Arabidopsis thaliana: one gene and its partners. Each later gene encodes a partner of the first gene's protein in a complex. Each region holds a gene or a part of one and is shown in the gene's direction. Other genes may lie near its edges. The genes, in order: MRL7, PTAC7, PTAC14 and PTAC12.

Evidence for each region.
Region 2: MRL7 (region 1) and PTAC7 share a complex: the UniProt entries of both Arabidopsis thaliana proteins name them as parts of the transcriptionally active chromosome (TAC) complex.
Region 3: MRL7 (region 1) and PTAC14 share a complex: the UniProt entries of both Arabidopsis thaliana proteins name them as parts of the transcriptionally active chromosome (TAC) complex.
Region 4: MRL7 (region 1) and PTAC12 share a complex: the UniProt entries of both Arabidopsis thaliana proteins name them as parts of the transcriptionally active chromosome (TAC) complex.

The regions. Positions count from the first base shown.
Region 1 is NC_003075.7:14,124,691-14,128,646, reverse strand, and holds MRL7 (polyadenylate-binding protein 2-binding protein), read left to right. Parts: upstream 1-1,564; 5' UTR 1,565-1,818; coding exon 1,819-2,513; intron 2,514-2,758; coding exon 2,759-2,843; intron 2,844-2,975; coding exon 2,976-3,087; intron 3,088-3,176; coding exon 3,177-3,280; 3' UTR 3,281-3,435; downstream 3,436-3,956. Other genes in the region: MGT5 (magnesium transport 5), read right to left, coding at 3,644-3,919. UniProt on the Arabidopsis thaliana protein: Plays an essential role in early steps of chloroplast development. Involved in the regulation of plastid gene expression. May positively regulate plastid-encoded RNA polymerase (PEP) activity through binding to FSD3 and CITRX/TRXZ.
Region 2 is NC_003076.8:8,275,731-8,279,704, forward strand, and holds PTAC7 (plastid transcriptionally active7), read left to right. Parts: upstream 1-1,969; 5' UTR 1,970-2,019; coding exon 2,020-2,061; intron 2,062-2,142; coding exon 2,143-2,190; intron 2,191-2,268; coding exon 2,269-2,352; intron 2,353-3,033; coding exon 3,034-3,369; 3' UTR 3,370-3,464; downstream 3,465-3,974. Other genes in the region: ABIL3 (ABL interactor-like protein 3), read left to right, coding at 33-127, 211-338, 419-595; AT5G24313 (uncharacterized protein), read right to left, coding at 1,376-1,621; AT5G24316 (proline-rich family protein), read right to left, coding at 3,543-3,695, 3,775-3,882. UniProt on the Arabidopsis thaliana protein: Essential for chloroplast development, especially for thylakoid formation. Involved in plastid gene expression, probably by maintaining plastid-encoded RNA polymerase (PEP) activity.
Region 3 is NC_003075.7:10,877,154-10,882,562, forward strand, and holds PTAC14 (plastid transcriptionally active 14), read left to right. Parts: upstream 1-1,663; 5' UTR 1,664-1,760; coding exon 1,761-1,817; intron 1,818-1,872; exon of another isoform or gene 1,873-1,933; coding exon 1,934-2,089; intron 2,090-2,502; coding exon 2,503-2,640; intron 2,641-2,687; exon of another isoform or gene 2,688-2,722; coding exon 2,723-2,848; intron 2,849-2,932; coding exon 2,933-3,061; intron 3,062-3,161; coding exon 3,162-3,251; intron 3,252-3,339; coding exon 3,340-3,490; intron 3,491-3,596; coding exon 3,597-3,706; intron 3,707-3,781; coding exon 3,782-3,853; intron 3,854-3,946; coding exon 3,947-4,052; intron 4,053-4,136; coding exon 4,137-4,331; intron 4,332-4,422; coding exon 4,423-4,544; 3' UTR 4,545-4,899; downstream 4,900-5,409. Other genes in the region: VSR7 (VACUOLAR SORTING RECEPTOR 7), read left to right, coding at 47-207, 365-446, 537-619, 711-774, 873-1,001, 1,087-1,190, 1,288-1,392. UniProt on the Arabidopsis thaliana protein: Essential for chloroplast development, especially for thylakoid formation. Involved in plastid gene expression, probably by maintaining plastid-encoded RNA polymerase (PEP) activity.
Region 4 is NC_003071.7:14,581,297-14,586,450, reverse strand, and holds PTAC12 (plastid transcriptionally active 12), read left to right. Parts: upstream 1-1,653; 5' UTR 1,654-1,906; intron 1,907-2,084; 5' UTR 2,085-2,105; coding exon 2,106-2,189; intron 2,190-2,306; coding exon 2,307-2,987; intron 2,988-3,077; coding exon 3,078-3,190; intron 3,191-3,264; coding exon 3,265-3,524; intron 3,525-3,606; coding exon 3,607-3,728; intron 3,729-3,804; coding exon 3,805-3,873; intron 3,874-3,967; coding exon 3,968-4,021; intron 4,022-4,111; coding exon 4,112-4,207; intron 4,208-4,285; coding exon 4,286-4,390; 3' UTR 4,391-4,616; downstream 4,617-5,154. Other genes in the region: GPS1 (geranyl diphosphate synthase 1), read right to left, coding at 4,819-4,998, 5,074-5,154. UniProt on the Arabidopsis thaliana protein: Involved in plastid gene expression. Acidic transcriptional coactivator necessary for the transactivation of many PIFs target genes (class B genes), particularly during the regulation of hypocotyl growth.

The DNA.
Region 1 (3,956 bases):
AACTTCCAAATTTGAAGTTTAATATATGGTTAATTACATCATTTAGATATATTTATCAAAAACATCTCATCCATACTTAGTAAGTTAATATTCATATCAATCTTTAATATATATTATGAATATATGTCATAATAACATGGCAGACGTGAGACGACCAATAATAAAAATAACTTAATGCCAAAACAAATTTATATGATGAGATTTATGAGTAGACTCGTTAAAATATTCCTCAGTGAAAAAGTATTGCATACCTCAATGAAATTGGTGTGAGGTCCATAAAAGAGAGTTCAAGAAAGAAAGTACACATATTTACATTTTGAGTCATCGAAGTTCCATTTTACAAATATTAATACGTCACTGAAAAATGAAAATACCTACAAGAAGATATATGTGTACTGTGTAACTGTAACAGATTGGGTGTAAGAAATCGAGAATTCTTTTACTTCTTATTAATAAAGAAGATAAAAACACATGCTTTTATGCAAACTATATAAAAGAAACACAAAACAAAATTACATTCACACATGGAACCAACTATACAATAAAACATTGCAGTTTTCAATGGGCCACGAGTCTTAATGCATGTGAAACCAGTGATCAGTGACCACGTGTTAGGCTTTAATTTGTGAATTCCATATGATCCAACAATTTAACAATATCATCTATTCTAACTTGTATAAATTTATTTCGTCTAAACTGAGCCTTCTTAACCCCAAAGATTTGGCAATCGAGTTTATGAACTCCGATTTTATCTTACTCACACATTCTAAACTATAGGAAGAATTTCTTTATATCTTCCACCCATTGACAAAGATCGTACTATGTAATAAATTAGACCGCAAACAATTAACTTTATAAGAATATACCTTGGATAAAAATAAAAACAATAAGAGAACAATGTCAAAAACAATCACTAAAAACTTTTCTTTTATTTCACAAAACAAAAACTTTTCTTGAAGGTAAGTGAAAAATATTTAATTGATTGTAGAAAAGACGTTGTTCTTTTTGTTTACGGGTTTCGGGCTACACCGTCGTCACCTGAGGCGGTCTATATGTTTGTGTCTTCGAGGCTGTCATGATACTAAAAGATTAGAAATAGAATCGAAAAATTCACTTTGTAGAAAAGTTATATATTAGCTCGAAACAAAACAGTTAGACAATAGACGTACCTCGAATTAATACGTCATCCTTATTAGATTCTTTTTCTTGTGTGTGCGAAACCTTATTAGGTTCTTCACACCGTTTTTCACAAAGGTAACGTAAGAGACGACAAATCAACACGGCACAGAACACCAACAAAAACACAATGCATCCCAAAATAATCTTCTCCATATCGTGTCTGCTTCTTCTTCTTGCATACAAATTATATTTAAACACTAGTATGTGTACTGTTAACGAGTTTACATTTTGAGGTCAGAAAATATTCCATTTTAGGATCTTATGACTATGTAAAGTTTACATATTTTATCAATGTTTCTAATTTGTGATCACATTATGGATATTGTGATCACATAACGAAATGGGAAAATGCCAAAAAAAGAACATATCCAACTTTAAAATTTGCCAAAAATATTTCAAATTTTTCATTAACGGAGGCGAGGAGCTAGGTATATGAAATTATGAATATTTCAAACGACGCTGTTTCGATTATATAAACTAAACCAAGTATCGGGAAAGATAACCGATCCAAATCAAGGACAGTAACACAAACCGAAATAATCCAAACCGGGATTATACAGACAAAGTGGATTATAAGAGCAAAAACTCAGTTACCAAAAATTTCTGCGAATTTCGTTTTGAATTTAGGAAACGAGAGAAATGAGTTTCTTCGCTGTTGCTTGCTCCGCGCCAAGATCTTCTATGCTTCTCACCGGCTTGAATTCGAGCTTCTCTGATATGCATCGCAGCCCACTATTTGTTTTCCCGGTGACTATATCATCCCGGAGCGTGAAACGCTTCGCCGCTGTTTCGTCTGATTCCGTACTAGACCCTGAATCCAAAAATCAAACTCGGTCCCGTCGCAAAAATAAGGAAGCAGTTACGCCAATTGCTGAAACCGAGAACAATGAAAAGTTTCCGACAAAGGTCCCGCGTAAATCGAAGCGTGGGCGGCGGAGTGAAGCAGACGCTGTGGAAGATTACGTGAGAAGCTCCCTCGAGCGTACTTTCTCCACCATAAAGGAGCAGAATCCGGAGGTTTTTGAGAACAAGGAGAAGGCGAATTTCATCAAAGACAGAGGCGTTGATGAAGAAGAGGAAGAAGAAGAAGAGATGGTGGTGGAAGAGGAAGATCCAGATTGGCCAGTAGATACAGACGTTGGATGGGGAATCAAAGCTTCGGAGTATTTCGATACACATCCAATCAAAAACGTGGTTGGAGATGATGGGAGTGAGATTGATTGGGAAGGTGAGATTGATGATAGTTGGGTCAAGGAGATCAATTGTTTGGAATGGGAAAGCTTTGCTTTTCATCCTAGTCCACTCGTTGTCCTTGTATTCGAGCGATACAAAAGGTATAAGCTTTGTTATTTCATTGACGAATTTTCACAAACACTTGGTGTGCATAGTAGAACTATGAAAGCTTTGTTCTTTTTCCTTCACAACATTATCTAGACTATGATTACAAGTTGAAAGAGCCATTTGAGTTAGATTCCATGATCAATTAACTGCAATGAGTATAAAAACTGAAACTTGTTCTTAGAGTGACCAAAATCTACTACTGTTGGAATAATTTTTTGAGTTGTTGTGCGTTTTATAGAGCTAGTGATAACTGGAAGACATTGAAGGAGCTTGAGAAAGCTATCAAAGTTTATTGGGATGCGAAAGATCGATTACCTCCACGGGTATGTCGAAAGCCTTCTCTAGTTGCAGTTTTAACTTGAACATTACTCTTTGTGTACTAATCTCTCTTGGTGTGATTACATGTTAATGTGGCTGCTCTCTGTTAACAAGAATCACCATGTTTTATGAAACAGGCGGTTAAGATTGACCTGAACATCGAGACAGATTTGGCATATGCTCTTAAAGCTAAGGAATGCCCACAGATTCTCTTCTTACGCGGAAACCGGATTCTGTACAGGGAGAAAGGTGATAAGCTATGTTGCTAACGTTGTTTTCATGTTTTTTTGCAATATGTGTGAGCAATAGATTATCATAGCGTATTGAACTTGATGCAGACTTTCGCACGGCGGATGAATTGGTTCATATGATTGCGCATTTCTACTATAAAGCGAAGAGGCCTTCGTGTGTCGACAAGGCTAATGTAACCCCGTACTGTTAGTTTGTAACGGGCATAGAGTAGTTTCACTCAAAAGGTCAGTCTAGGAAAATTTACATAAACTTCACTCATAGATTGTTAACATTTTTGTATGTTCTATGCAAATATAAACTTGTTCCCAAGTAATGGATTTTACTCGTCAATCTGTGCTTTCCCTAACACGTTGATTCGTAACCAATGATGCATACATATATCAAGAAGCCAGCTCCTTTTATAGAAAAATTGTTTGAAGGATAAACTATTAATGCAAAAATCCATAACATAAAAACAAAAGCATTGAATCAATAAGAAAAAGCAAACTAAAAAAAAAATGAATTCCACAAAGCTAATCTCATAATGACTAAACCTAATGTGTTTAGTCTCTTATCAGTCAAGTAGCTTCTTCCACTTGGCGTAACCAACGGTGACTATGAAAAGCACAATGCAAAGCGCAACGACAGCCCACACAACGTAACCAAAGATGTCAGGTGTGCTATACAATCCAATTGGTATATTCATACCGAACAAGTTGACCACCACTGTCCCTGCAGTTATTGCATAATTGCCTATATTCACAAGCATCATTAGGTGGATCAGTCCGTTACGTCTACTATTCTGTAGTATCTTCACGTAGGCTTCTGTGCTGTCAATATGCTCCTTCATCTGCAATTCAAAAAAATATTAAATTACCAAGGACCGG
Region 2 (3,974 bases), on another chromosome or scaffold:
GAGAAGTACTAAACTTTTATCGCTTTTTGCAGAAAACCGATACTTCAGTCTCCCTCTCAACGGAAACCTCAACGTTCAGCAACCTTTTCGTTCTCCTCTATCGCCACCGCACCAAAGAAAGAACAAGGTAAAAGACAGCTTCACCTTGAAATTGCCGTTTTTGGCTTAATATGTAAACAGAACCTTTAAACAGTGTGCATGGTAAAATAGATAAGCGAGCAGTATCACCACATCGGTTTCCGCTGCTAAGATCTGGTTCGGTTGCTATCCGACCGTCATCAATCAGCCGGCCAACAACCCCGAGCAAGAGTAGAGCGGTAACTCCAACTCCTAAACGGGTAAGCTTCGGTTACATTTCAAAAACACTCACTTCTAGGCTCTATCTCTAACGGTTGATTCTTGATATTTTCTGGCTCAGTATCCGTCAGAACCAAGAAGATCGGCTTCGGTTCGGGTTGCGTTCGAGAAAGAAGCTCAGAAAGAACCAGAGCATCAACAACAACCGAGCAAGAGCAAACGGCTGCTAAAGGCGCTACTTAGCCGACGCAAAACAAAGAAGGACGATACGCTCTACACTTATTTGGACGAATATTAAACCGAAAGCTGGTTTTGTATGTTGACTGGTAAACCGGAAATTACATTCCAGTTTTAATTGCATTTACGTAATGTCAAATTGTCAATATATGTGTTACAAAATATGTCCATGATTCTATGATTTTGTGTATACCTTATGACTGTCAGAGTGTGAATGCAGTTTTGTTTACAAGCGTAGTAAAACTTGCTGTGAATTATTTTACTGCCGATTTTAACCAAATTAACAGCAAGTTTATATATACAATTTCGTTCTCGAAATATTATTTGACAGTTTAATATATATTTTGCATCAATTACTGTTGCAAGAATAATTATGTTTTTGAAACTTTTGCTTTTATTTATCCAGTTTTTGAAATTGATTAAGAATGTTTGAGACTAATCCTCCCTTTTTTCTTTTTTTTTTTTTAAGCCGTGGTAATGTGGTATTCGTTCGGTAAATCTACCTATTCAAAAAGATAGTATCATCGACTTTTCTGTTGTATTAACTTACCATTTACAAATATTACATTAATTAATTTGAAACAAGTCAAATTTATTGTCACCAAGAATGAAGTACACGTATACAGATAAAAATAAAGAAGAAAAAAACAGAGACAACTTTTCCGGAGATTTTACTTTAGAAAGCAAAGAAAACTAAATCAAACCAAGCCTTCAAAAATTAGGTAGCTCTTATAAACCGGATCATAAAACCAAACATCAAAACATATGTATGCTCTTTCAAAACATGGTACCAACTCACGAGTCTTTTCATCAGGGCCGATTCTCACCATCACTCAATGGTCTAGACACCATCAGTTTGGGGTTCAACTTCTGATCTTTTGGGTGGTGGTGGAGGTGGTGATCTGTCGTAATGCTCAGCAACAAGTGAACGATGAGAAGAAGGAAGAAAAACCTGACGAGACTCCATCGATGGAAAATAAGATGATGGTACATTATCGTCAAGAAGTTTCCGGTTGGTTTGAGCATGCCCGATCATGATCATAGCTAAGAGAACACAACATATTAAGAGATGATTCCTAGAAGCCATTTTCTCATCCGGTGATCGATAGAGTTAATTTCTTTGCTTATCAACTATGTTGAGGTTCCATCTTGTAATGTCTTATGTATATACATAGCTCACAAAGTCACAATAGAGGGTTCCCACTAACTATTATTAGATTGATTGATTTCTGAAAAATATTATTTTTGTGTACCAAGTAAAATTATATGATTTTAGATTTGTTGTTAGTTTTGATTTGTTTTAGATTTTTTTTTTGTGCAAGTTGAATTATTATTGTATAGATAAAATGACGAGAAAAAAAAATGCCCGGTTCGGTTAGGAATGATTTGTCCAAATACGAACACAACCAAAGATAAACCATTAAACCGAACCGGAGAAGCTTACATATAAAATAGGATCCGGTTCTATCTATTCACTGTGTATCAATGGCTTCCTTCACCTGTTCTTCTCCATCTTCGATTTTACCTGTAAAAATCCCTCCTTTGCTTCTCTCATAATCATCCTTTGATGTCAATGTGATTTCTCATTTTCAATTATTGTATATTCAGATTATTGATACGAGAAGTGGGAATTTGCGATGCACATTTCAGTCTCAGGTTTTGAATGGTTGATATATATACGAATTTGTGGGTTTTTGGGGGAGAGTTTTGAGTGAATCTGGTTGATTTTTTCAGGTTTCTTGTGGGATTCAGAGAGATGATAATGGACGCCGTGTTTGGCGGAGGAGAACATTGGTAAGTACTAAACTTGATATTTTGGTGATTTTCCAGTTTCATGTTTATGACATAAGTCGAATCAGGAATCAAAATAAGGGTTTTTCTTTGCTTGGAGACGACATTTCTAAAAAGTTGCAATTTTTAGTAGGATCACAGATTAGCTTTAACTCACTGATGAGGCATGACTATTAACTCTAGTTAGTCTTTACTTAGTCATAGTAATTGATATGATGCATAGAAGGAGAGATGGAGATTGTCTTCTCTGAGTTTTTGCGATTTCTAGTTTACCCTTCTTGATTCCAAATTAGCTTACACACCTGTTTCAAAAGTGTCTTTGTTGAACTATGCTCATTTCAGACGCTAGCTTTAGTTCTTATACTGTTGATGAACTTAAAGAAACATGGCTTTTTACCTCTAGTTAGTGTTTACTTATATATATTCAAGTAACCATGGTCTTATCTCTATGGCACATGCAAGAAATTGGAGATTGTCTTATCTGAGATACTGGGATTTTTAGGTGGGAGTTACACATTACATAAAATATTAGTGTGATCTTTTTACTTGTACTATATTCTACAAACTATCAGTTTCTGTTGTTTGATCCTATCAGGTTCATGAGGTTTTGAGATTTCAATAATTACCAAAGCCAGAACAATGCAAAATCTTTGTTTATATTTGTCCCGCTTTTAATCTCTCTATGTCGTTCTCCTGTTTTGTCTGTAGACGAAGAAGGACGATATGTTGCGTTACAAAATGCAAAGAGTTCCATTTGTGGAAGAACAAGTAAGGAAGATAAGAGAAGTTGGGAAGGTAATGACAATGGACATAGAGCAGCTTCTTTTGAGGGAAGACAATCGGTTTGAATTTGTCAATAGCGTAGCAGCTGAAGCAACAGAGTACGTGGACAAGAACAGAGACGAATATGGAGGTTCCAAAAAAGCCATCTTTCATGTTCTAAGCAACCGTGTGAACGATCTCGGCTTTGATCGCCCTGAGGCTTATGTAGAAGCTGATCCTTACAAACCCGGTCCTGGCTATTTGTTGGAGTACTACACTTGATATATTATAACAAAAAGTGTCAATGTACTTTACAGCTTTTGTTCTTGTATTACCAAAACCAAATCAATGCATTCACAGCTTTGTTGTTTTCTTGGCCAAATTTCATTTTATTTATTTAGATTTACTAGATGAAGACGAAAGTCTAATGACAAGAGTTTAGTAAAAGTAACGGTCTAGTGATTTGTGGTGAAAGGAGGTCGTCGTGTCGGTGGAGGAGGAGGAGGAGGTACATATGGCATTGGTCGTTTTGGGATTGGTCTTGGAGACCAGTCCCCATAGTCTTCTTTGTTATAGACAGTTGGTTCCTTTGTCACAACCTCATCAACCTTTCAAAACCAAACTCATACACTATTAAAAAAGGAAGACACTTTTCGTAATACTTCATTTTTGCTATAGGGCACGTACTTGTGTTCCTGGAATTGTAGGGTCGGATGGCTTGGGAGGTCTTAGATGCGGCCCAGCGTAGTCCATCTCCAGATCGATTCTTCTTCCATTCATGACCATCTCTTTAACCTTTTTAAATCAACAAGTTTTATATCTTTTTGTTTTTAGTTTTGATGCATATTTGTAATCAAATATATAACGCTTTTAGAACCGTGATTGTT
Region 3 (5,409 bases), 3.2 Mb from region 1:
TATGAAGATGCTGAAGTTTCTGTTGTTATTGGTTGCAATTGTGAAGGGAGATTGGAGAGAACCGCGGTTTTAAAGGCGATATGCGCTGGTTTTAATGAAACATCGGAGCCTGCCATTTGCTTAAACACAGGTCTAGAGACAAATGAGTGCCTTGAAAACAATGGTGGTTGCTGGCAGGATACAAAAGCAAACATCACTGCTTGTCAAGTATGTCGTAAAACCGAGCTTACCACATCACATCTCACCACTATATTGAATATCAGTATCAATTTGTTTGGAATTGTTTTGAAAACTAGAGAAAATGTGAAAATCTAGAGAGATATTTTCTAGTCCTATAATACTTGAATCTTTTTTGTTTGATCAGGACACATTCAGAGGAAGACTCTGCGAGTGTCCGGTTGTAAAAGGTGTTCAATATAAAGGAGACGGGTACACTTCATGTACACGTAAGTTGTTCACACATTTCACACAACATAGCTCTCAAATGTTGAGACCGGTTTCTTGAATAGTCTCTGGTTTGTGATTGAGCTTTGCAGCTTATGGGCCTGCGAGGTGTACTATGAACAATGGAGGTTGCTGGTCTGACACAAGGAACGGCTTAACTTTCTCTGCTTGCTCAGTTTAGTGATTCTCTTGTCATAAGCCAAACCCTCCCTTACAAAGTTCTTGTTTTCAGTTCAATCATCTCTTTGTTATTTATGAAAAATTAGGACTCTGTATCTACTGGCTGCAAATGTCCTGAAGGTTTCCAAGGCGACGGTTTGACGTGTGAAGGTACATAACTCTTAACTTATCGATTAAAATCTCGAAAGAAACCACATAATCATATTACCAACAATGTAATTATGTTTTCTGATTTGGCTCTATTGCAGATATTAACGAATGTAAAGAGCGTTCGGTATGTCAATGTAGCGGTTGCAGATGCAAGAACTCATGGGGTGGATACAAATGCAGCTGTTCTGGTGACCGGCTTTACATAAACGATCAAGATACTTGTATAGGTAAAATTTTATCAATCAAGATTTAAGAGTACTCAAATTCCATAACAGTATCTAATTAATATACATTGATGATTGTTTGTTACAGAGAGATATGGATCCAAAACGGCATGGTGGCTCACATTCTTGATACTGGCTATCGTTGCAGTAGCCGGTTTAGCTGGTTATATATTCTACAAATACCGGTTCAGGGTACTACTACTCTTTCTGATTCCACAAAAGCATTTTTGTACTTAATAACGGTTTTAGGATTACCAAACTAACTTTTCTTTGGTGTTCCTATTAACAGTCTTACATGGACTCAGAGATTATGACGATCATGTCACAGTATATGCCACTTGAGAGCCAAAGAGCTCGTGAAGTTCCATCAGAAGCCGAGCCTTTTACACTCTAATAGTATATGACCAAAGTAACCAAAACTGTCATACACAAAGAAATGTTTGAGATCAATTAATGTACATATGAATTATACTGTAAAAATAAAAGAGTGAGATAGAGTTGTGTATATTTTCATGGCAAAAAAATAAATAATTTGGATGTAAAGAGACTTTTGAAGAAAATAAAACAAATATTGCTTTCATTGAGAGTTGAACTCAAGACCTCCCGCTTACTAAACGGGTGCTCTAACCAACTGAGCTATGAAAGCTTCTTGCAACATATTATTCCAAATAAATTATATCGTAAACTAAGAGTTAAAATCTTGAAAACAAAGGATAACGATCTTCGTCTCCCTCTGCTAAACCCATTTTCTTCTGTTGAGGAATGGCTTCTTCAGTCTCTCTTCAGTTCCTGACCAACACCTTTATCTCCAAACCTCAGGTTCTTAATCTTATCTCTCTGTATCACCTAATGTTTCTATGTCATGTGTGTGTGTGTGTGTCTGTCTTTGTCTGAATTTTCTGAGTACTCCTCATGTTTTTTCCGGTCGGACAAAGGGTTTCTGCAACGGAATTGTGTCAGCACCAAGACCCAGAAGCAATTTATTAAGAGACAGACAAAATGGTGTACGACCCATCAAAGTTGCGTCTATTGAGACACAACCTTTCCCTCTGTTTCAATCTCCTGCTTCCGAAGAATCTTCCTCGTCCGAGGTTAGGATTTTCAGTTTTGAGTGTTTTAGGGTTTATAGAGTTCTAAAAGGCAGTACCTTTGACAATTCTTTGCATTGCCCCTATCTGGGAGATTGATTTAGAGTACAAATGAGTTCTAAAGGTAGTACCTTTAGACAATTCTGTTCATTGCCCCCATATGTGATATTGATTTAGGGTACATATGAGTTCTTAAGGCAGTAACTTTAGACAATTCTGTGCATTGCCTCCATCTGTGAGATTGATATAGGGGACTTCTTAAGGCAGAAACTTTAGACAATCTTGTGCATTGCCCTCATCTGTGAGATTGATGTAGGGTACAAATGAGTTCTAACGGCAGTAACTTTAGACAATTCTGTGCATTTCCCTCATATGTGAGATTGATTTAGGGTTTTTGTCTTTTGTTTCTTCACTAGCTGGAGACAGCAGATCCGGATTTCTACAAAATTGGCTATGTTCGAAGTGTGAGAGCTTATGGAGTTGAGTTTAAAGAAGGTCCAGATGGTTTTGGTGTCTATGCTTCTAAGGATATCGAACCTCGCCGTCGAGCTAGAGTCAGTCTTCTTAGTTAAAAAGTTGACAACTTTTTGTTTTGTTCTTCTCTTTAGATTATTTTGTTTTCTTTTCTCTCTGCAGGTGATTATGGAGATTCCTCTTGAACTGATGATAACCATTAGACAGAAGCACCCTTGGATGTTTTTCCCTGATATTGTACCAATTGGTCATCCTATTTTCGATATCATTAACTCGACTGATCCTGAGGTAGTAACACATTTGTGCTATTTCGATATCATCAACTCGAAAGTTCTTATCTTTCTCAAAGTCCTTTCACATTTGTGCTTACAGATTGATTGGGATATCAGATTAGCGTGTCTTCTGTTATTCTCTTTTGATCGAGATGATCACTTCTGGCGGCTCTATGGCGATTTCCTGCCGGCTGCTGATGAGTGCAGCAGCTTGCTTTTAGCTACAGAGGTGGATTGAATTGATATGATTGCCATTTGAAACTGGTCACATTTACTTGTGTCTTTAAACTAATGCTTGATGATATCTAATTCTGTGTGTTTTTCTATAGGAAGACCTTGCGGAGCTTCAAGATCCTGATCTTGTTTCAACTATCAGACAACAACAGAAACGAATCCTAGATTTTTGGGAAAAGAATTGGGTAATGAGGCCTTATATATGTGTTTCCAGTATATCTTGACATTTGGTTATTGCTTTGTTTTTCATTGGCAAATTGTATTCCGTCTCAGCATTCAGGTGTTCCTCTCAAAATCAAAAGGCTTGCCGAGGATCCAGAAAGATTCATATGGGCGGTTAGTATGGCACAGACACGATGCATCAGTATGCAAACTAGGGTCGGTGCTTTGGTTCAGGAATTAAATATGATGATTCCTTATGCTGGTAAGGAAGAGCATGTTGTGTAGTTATTGATAAATTAAGATTTAGTATCAATGAACTTTTTGTTGAGGAACTAAATAAGAATCTCACGATTGATCATTCTCTGCAGACATGCTAAACCACTCATTTGAACCAAACTGTTTCCTACATTGGCGTCCTAAAGATCGCATGCTGGAGGTTATGTCAAATGCTGGTCAAGACATTAAGAAAGGCGAAGAGGTAAGAGACTCAAATGTTCCTAAGTGTCAGCCTCACTTCACTGCTTTATCTATCTTCTTATAATGCTTTTCACAGATGACGATTAATTACATGCCAGGCCAGAAAAACAACATGCTTATGGAAAGATACGGCTTCTCAACTCCTGTGGTAATGCTTTTTACGACAATCACATTCATCTTACACAAACTATGTTTCCTTTGCAAGTTTTCTCGTTTATTCAGTTTTTCTGGTCTGCTGCAGAATCCGTGGGATGCTATAAAGTTCTCTGGAGATTCTCGCATCCATTTAAATTCCTTTTTATCGGTCTTCAATATTTATGGTCTTCCTGAAGAATATTACCATGACAGTAAGTTCCTTTTCTTCTGTTTCCTCTCTATTCCTTGACAAAAGATGGAGAAATGAGCACCAATGTTACCTAAATCTGTGGCAGGCGAGTTATCGAGGGGCGATACTTTTGTTGATGGAGCAGTTATCGCTGCAGCAAGAACATTACCTACTTGGTCAGACATAGATCTTCCTCCAATACCGAGTGCGGAAAGAAAAGCAGTTAAAGAATTGCAAGATGAATGTCGAAAGATGCTTGCGGAATATCCCACAACAGCAGAGCAAGACCAGAAGTTGCTAGGTATTACACTAAAGATATATACACCAATGTGTTATTATCTATTATCGCTCATATACTAAAACTTAAGCTTTCCCTCTTGTTGTTGTGACAGATTCAATGTCAGAAGCAAGGACAACATTTGCAACAGCGGTTAAGTATAGAATGCACAGAAAGATGTTCATCGGAAAAATTATCAAGGCACTTGACATCTATCAAGAACGGTTACTCTATTGATTCAAGCAAAAAATAATTATGAGCTGAGTGAGATTCATACTTGGTGCTCACTCCCTTGAGCTACTTAGAAACTGCACCATGTAATTGAAAGGTTCCTGTTTTTTTTTTTGTTTAGTGTAAGGTTATGTATTTGTATGGAACAGTTAGACTAAGTGTGTTAGTTTGTTTTAATCGCAATCACAAACAAATCATAACCTCTTCTTTTCTTGGCTGCTTTAATGAGTTTGATTAGCCAACAAACGCTTTGGAATCATCTGTGTTTTTTTTTTCTCTTTTGATTAATTCATGTTCATGTTTTTAGTCCCTAAGCATGATTAGTGTCTCAAATGTTTTAGGGTAATTGTGTCTCTTACGCCGAACTATAATGTTGATTAGTCTCAATAATTGATTATTACTTATACTATTTATTAACCTTGTGGTTACACTAATCAATCAAATCATATTGCGTTTCTTCTACTCTTTGTCTAACATTACTATTTTCAAAAAAAGTTACGGTCCAAACCAAACAAACCTACTCTGAGTTATACAGAACCATAAGCAATCTATTTCTTACCTTTGGCTACTTATTTGATACTTTACATTGACTAACTTGATTCTTAATAATTATCTTCAATATGTTGAATATTTTATTTTTGAAGTAAGACCACTATGCGTTTCATAATTCTTGCCATGCATAATGAAATTATTCCTTTGAATTTAAGATTAATTAAAGTATAAATCAACCAAACAATAGACAAAAAAAAATAAAAAAAAATAAGCATCTTGATCTTTTTGGTGGATCGAAGATAATTCCTTTGTCTCATTCTTTTGGATTTAGAATCTCGTTCAGTAGAATATTAACATTTTTAATTATAGATTATCAATT
Region 4 (5,154 bases), on another chromosome or scaffold:
AAAAGAATGTTGATTCAAGAATTTTGTAAGAATTGCAACATTGTTGAACAACAGTGGCAAAACATACCATAAACTAATAGATACTAGTAACTATGATCACTGATCAAATAATGTATAAATCGGAGATTATTCTATGTAACATTTAACAAAAGTGTATTACAAGTAAATAAAGAATAAACTTTTTAAGTTACGAATGGTAAAAAACTAAAGAAATTTGTTAGTTCTCTGTTTGTATGCATGCATTGTCTCTCTGCTAAAATGTTCATGACAAGTCCACATCTACTCAAATACTCATCGAGGTGATTATCCTCGTCGTCGCTTTTATACACATGTAATATTACACACATCTATACATGGAGTATATTTTTAGCGAACGGATAGGTGCCATGTGGAGGTAAGTACACGTCGCCACTTGTGAGATTCTGTTCCAATTACTTGTGGAAGTGAATTATGTCGCAGAAAAAGTTTGACGAGATTTCCAATTAGCCACTCATTTATTAACGGTCACCAAAAGCATCAAATTACAGTTTTTTTTAGTGCTTTGAGATTCTTTTCCCTGACATATTGTTTTATGTAAAATAGCAAACTCGAAAAGATAGTAATAGTATCCAAATTATTATTATTACAGTATTATTTTTGATAAAAGGTTGTTATTCTTTTTTTATTTTTTTATTTATTGTATCTATTATATAATTCGAAACTGCTATATTGTTTGTCTTTAGTTTGCATCTCTAGCTTTATATATGCTTATGAAGTTTCAAATGTTGCTATTATATGCTGCTGATTCTTTTTTTCTTATGTAGGAGTATAGGTTTGACCGTTTGACAATACGAGAGGAAGAGGAAGTTGGGAAAAAACGACGCCGCATGGATAGTCTCGCTCGTTGCACGAATAGTTCAAAAGGTGACGTTAGGCGCGTGCGGGTCAGCGAAACTTGTGCCTAGTCAGACCTTTGTGGTATAGTCTTACGTGGTCTACGTCTGCCAAATTTCAGAAAACCAAAAAAACAATTATATGTTTGGTCCCTAGAAATAAATATTATCGTCGTTTAGCAAGTTTGAAGTAAGCAATAGTAGTATTAATGTATAAAAAGTGTAGGATATTAGGTTAAAATAGGCCTGTGATAGATACCGTAATGTCTATGATGTGTCTGGTCAGACCCATTTAATATTGGTTCAGACCATATTAGCACATTAGCCAATTGCCATTCACGTTGGGTCCAAACCTTCTTCCTTCTATAGTGTCTTAGACAAGTACGTACACACGCTGAAGTACAAATCATATACAAGTATTTATTCACTTAAAGGTACAATGATTGATGTTTTTTGTGTAACATGTTCCTCTAGTCCACTATATTAATCCATTACGGAGAGAACTATCTAAAAATTGTATAATCGCAATTGTAAATTGCAAATCTATTAACAAAACTAAGATGTGTTCACATGCATACTTCGATAAACATTCTTCCATATATCTTTTGTGTTAAGGCATGTTTTAAATGATCAAATCACATATTGATTTTATTTGAAAGTATATCAATATAATAAACTGTTTAGAAGATGTTTTGCCAAAAAAGAAAAAGATGTTTTGTTCTTCTTGGAAGTGTTTGTTAAAGCCCAAGAGAGACTTCAAGCTCACAATTTCTCAAAGATCCATTAATACTGGGCCTTAGTTAGATATACCAAGCCCATATACTTTCTCTTCACAAATTCCCGTTCTAATACCGGCGCGTCGTGAAATCTAGAGATTTTGCCGTCACCAGAATATGTTAATAAACGCAGGAGGAGATAAATGGATAAACCCAAAAACTGACAAGTGAAAACCTTTTGAAGCCAAAACCCCCTTCAAAATCAAGCTCCATGATAGAAAACCCTCTTCCTACATAATCTCCTGGTAAAACAAAAAGGTTAGTCTTTTTCTCCTCAACTTCGAGTGTGAAGCGTTTGTAAAAATGCCCAAAAAAATCGTACCTTGTTATGGACAATTTGTTGTATCAGGTTCTTCTTATCTGGGTTTTATGTTTTGTACTAGTTTGAAACTGATTCTGAGCATAATTGAATCGGTTGTTTTTGTAAATGATACAGTGAGAAGTAGAAAGAGTGTAAATGGCGTCAATATCAACCACCACCTGGCTCTACCGAGGTCAAGTATGCACAGACAGTGGAAAGTCCAGTAATTGTATTGTGCAGGTTGGTTCTTACACATCAAGTTTCTTGTTCTGATCCAAACTTATCTAATTTAGAGATAGTGAACATTTTAGCTTGTTTCAAGATGTCAAACTGGTAAAAGTTTGTTTATGTATGTAGAGACGGGTTAAATGTGGGTTTCCACTCAAGACATTGCATGCTGGGATTACTTCTAGGGATCGGTCTTTGCGACATTGTATCAAATGCAAGAAAGAGGATGGAGATGGTGATGTAAGTGAAGGGTCTAAGAAGAGTGAAGAAGGATTTGAGTATGTGACTGTTGAGAGGCATCCTTACCATAGTTATATGGATTCAACTTCTGGGAAGCTTGAGCCAGCGTCCGGGGCTCGGGCTAGTATTCCAGGTGAGGATTATTGGCCTGAAGGAACTTCGAGCCGGGTTAGAGCTGCTAGAGCTCCTCAACCAGCTGGTGAGTCTTCGAGTTTTCCTTCCTATGGAAAGAATCCTGGAAGTAGGAGAAAGAAGAATAGGAAAGCTACTGAGGAGAATGTGACTGTTGAAACGAATGACGAAGTATCCGATTCTGAGGATAGCTCTGAAGAAGAGGAAAATGATTCCTCGGATGGGTTTGTTACCTATAAGAATGAATTTGAGAGAGAAGAAGAGGAGACTGGTTTTGAATTAGACAAAAAGCTTGGAAGGCCACATCCTTTCATTGATCCTACGAAAAAGAAACAAATTGAAAAGACACTCACGAGCGATGAATCGTGGTGGAACTGGAGGAAACCGGAGAAAGAACAATGGTCAAGATGGCAAAGAAGACGTCCTGATGTTGAAACGGTTAGTCATCACAATGATTTCAGGTTTAAACATGTGTGTGTTTCCCCAATGTTTGATCCATTATGGTATTTTTTTTTGTTGTTGATGCAGGTTTTCCTCAAGGCAATGGCAGAAACAGGACAAGTGAAGCTCTATGGGGAAGAACCAACACTCACAGAAACTTCTCTTTATAGAGCAAGAAGGCATCTTTTCAAGGAAGAGAGGTATATTGATCTAACGAACTTTCAAGTGAAAATCTGTTTTATTAGGATTTTCTTTCGAGTTTTCTTTCTCTCAGGCTGCAAGCTGAGCGAGAGAGATTAGCGAAAGAAGGTCCAATGGCTTTTTATTCTGAATGGGTTAAAGCATGGAAGAGAGACACGTCAAGAGAAGCTGTACAAAAACATTTTGAAGAGACAGGTGAAGATGAAAACACACAACTGATTGAGATGTTCTCTCATCAAACAGATAGAGAATACCGGATAATGATGGGAACTGATATTAGGATCAAGAGAGATCCATTGGCAATGCGGATGAGGGAGGATCAAATTAAGCAAAGTAAGAAACTTTGACCGTTGAAGTTTGAACTAACTCATCATGGATATTCAATCGTTCGACTAACATTCTCGGTTTCTTGCAGTTTGGGGCGGGGATCCAGTTTACCCGACAATTAACTACATTCAAGATCCTAATGCGGTTATGGATTTCAGAGGACCTGATTTTCATGAGCCTACACCAAATATGCTCTCTTATCTAAAGGAGGTTAGTCTGCTTTGCTCAAAGTTCTATTCTTTTTCTTTCTTGGTCTGATTGTTTTCTTTGTTTCTGATTTGATCAGAATGGCAAAGTCATCTCAAGAGAGATGCATGAAGCACTACTGACAAAAGAGAAAACCGAGCAGCTCGAGGTAAAGTGACCAATCTTTCATTTCCTTTGACACAACTCTGATTGTGAGATTTCAGGGTTTCGCTTGATATGTTCGATAAATTGTATGAATGCAGGTACCTGACATGGATGATGCAATGGCACAAGCTGTTGATATTGGTGAAAACGATGTGAGTATCATCGATTACATCAGATCCTCTTCTTCTTTATTGTTTCTTGATGTATCATGCTCTGAAACATCTCCGGACATTTTTTGACAGGACGACGAAGACGATGCAGATGTAGAAAAAGACGACGAGAAAGTGCCGAGGAACTGGAGTGTCTTGAAGGAAACCCCTGAGCTTCGCACCGCCAAGGTAAAGTCACATTCAACTTGAGCCACATTATATGTCTTGTGTGGTGTGTTGATGTTATGAGCTTGGTTTCTTAAACAGCCTAAACCAAAGAAGGAAGGTCGGATGTCTCTAGACGAGGCCGTGGATGATGCTGAGAACTTAACTGATTTTCTCATGGACTTTGAAGAGGAGACTGATCCTTAAACCTGGTTTTCGTATTTCTTATGTAAAGACGTTATTTAGGGCAACTTTTTCTTCACTGGTTTTGCTTGTATACTTGGAAGGGATGATATCATTTAGGAGTGGATTTGAGTTTTGCAAGTGATTTGTATCATATGGAATTCAAATATTTTTGATTGAATTTATAGAGTTTTGAAAGTGATTTGTTAACTGTACTGCATCCTGTTTAGTTCAGCTTGAGACGGTTTAATCTGTTAAAACAAGACCTAAACCGAATTCGCAAGGAATATGATTTCACAATTAGTATCTGTCTCCTTTTTTTGTCATGTGTAGTTTAAAACCAAAGCCACAGCTTGTCAAACATTATTGTTTCGTGAAACGAATTGGACCAACAAAATCCTACAAATGAAATGAGGAATGTTTTGGTGTATAGAGAGAAACATTACTTAATCTCACTTGTTTCTGGTGATGACTCTATGGGTCAAGTCAATAAGTGCCCGCCTCGATCTTTTGACATCTTCATTGTCTGTTTCAGGTAGAGACCCGATTGCAGCTGCTGCTAGATTCGCATGTTCCATGGCTAATTCTCTTGCCCTCTGTATTCCCTTGCTCTTCCCAAGATACTCTAAAGCCTGTGTGATATAATAGTATTAGAGACTATGAAAACATATTATAGATTTTAGGAGATTTGTTTCTTTCAAACTTACAATGTCAACATTCCTAGGATCTTTTTCAACTTGATCAACAACTTCGCGTAGTTGAGGAAACTCTTCCATGGCAAAGAGGAT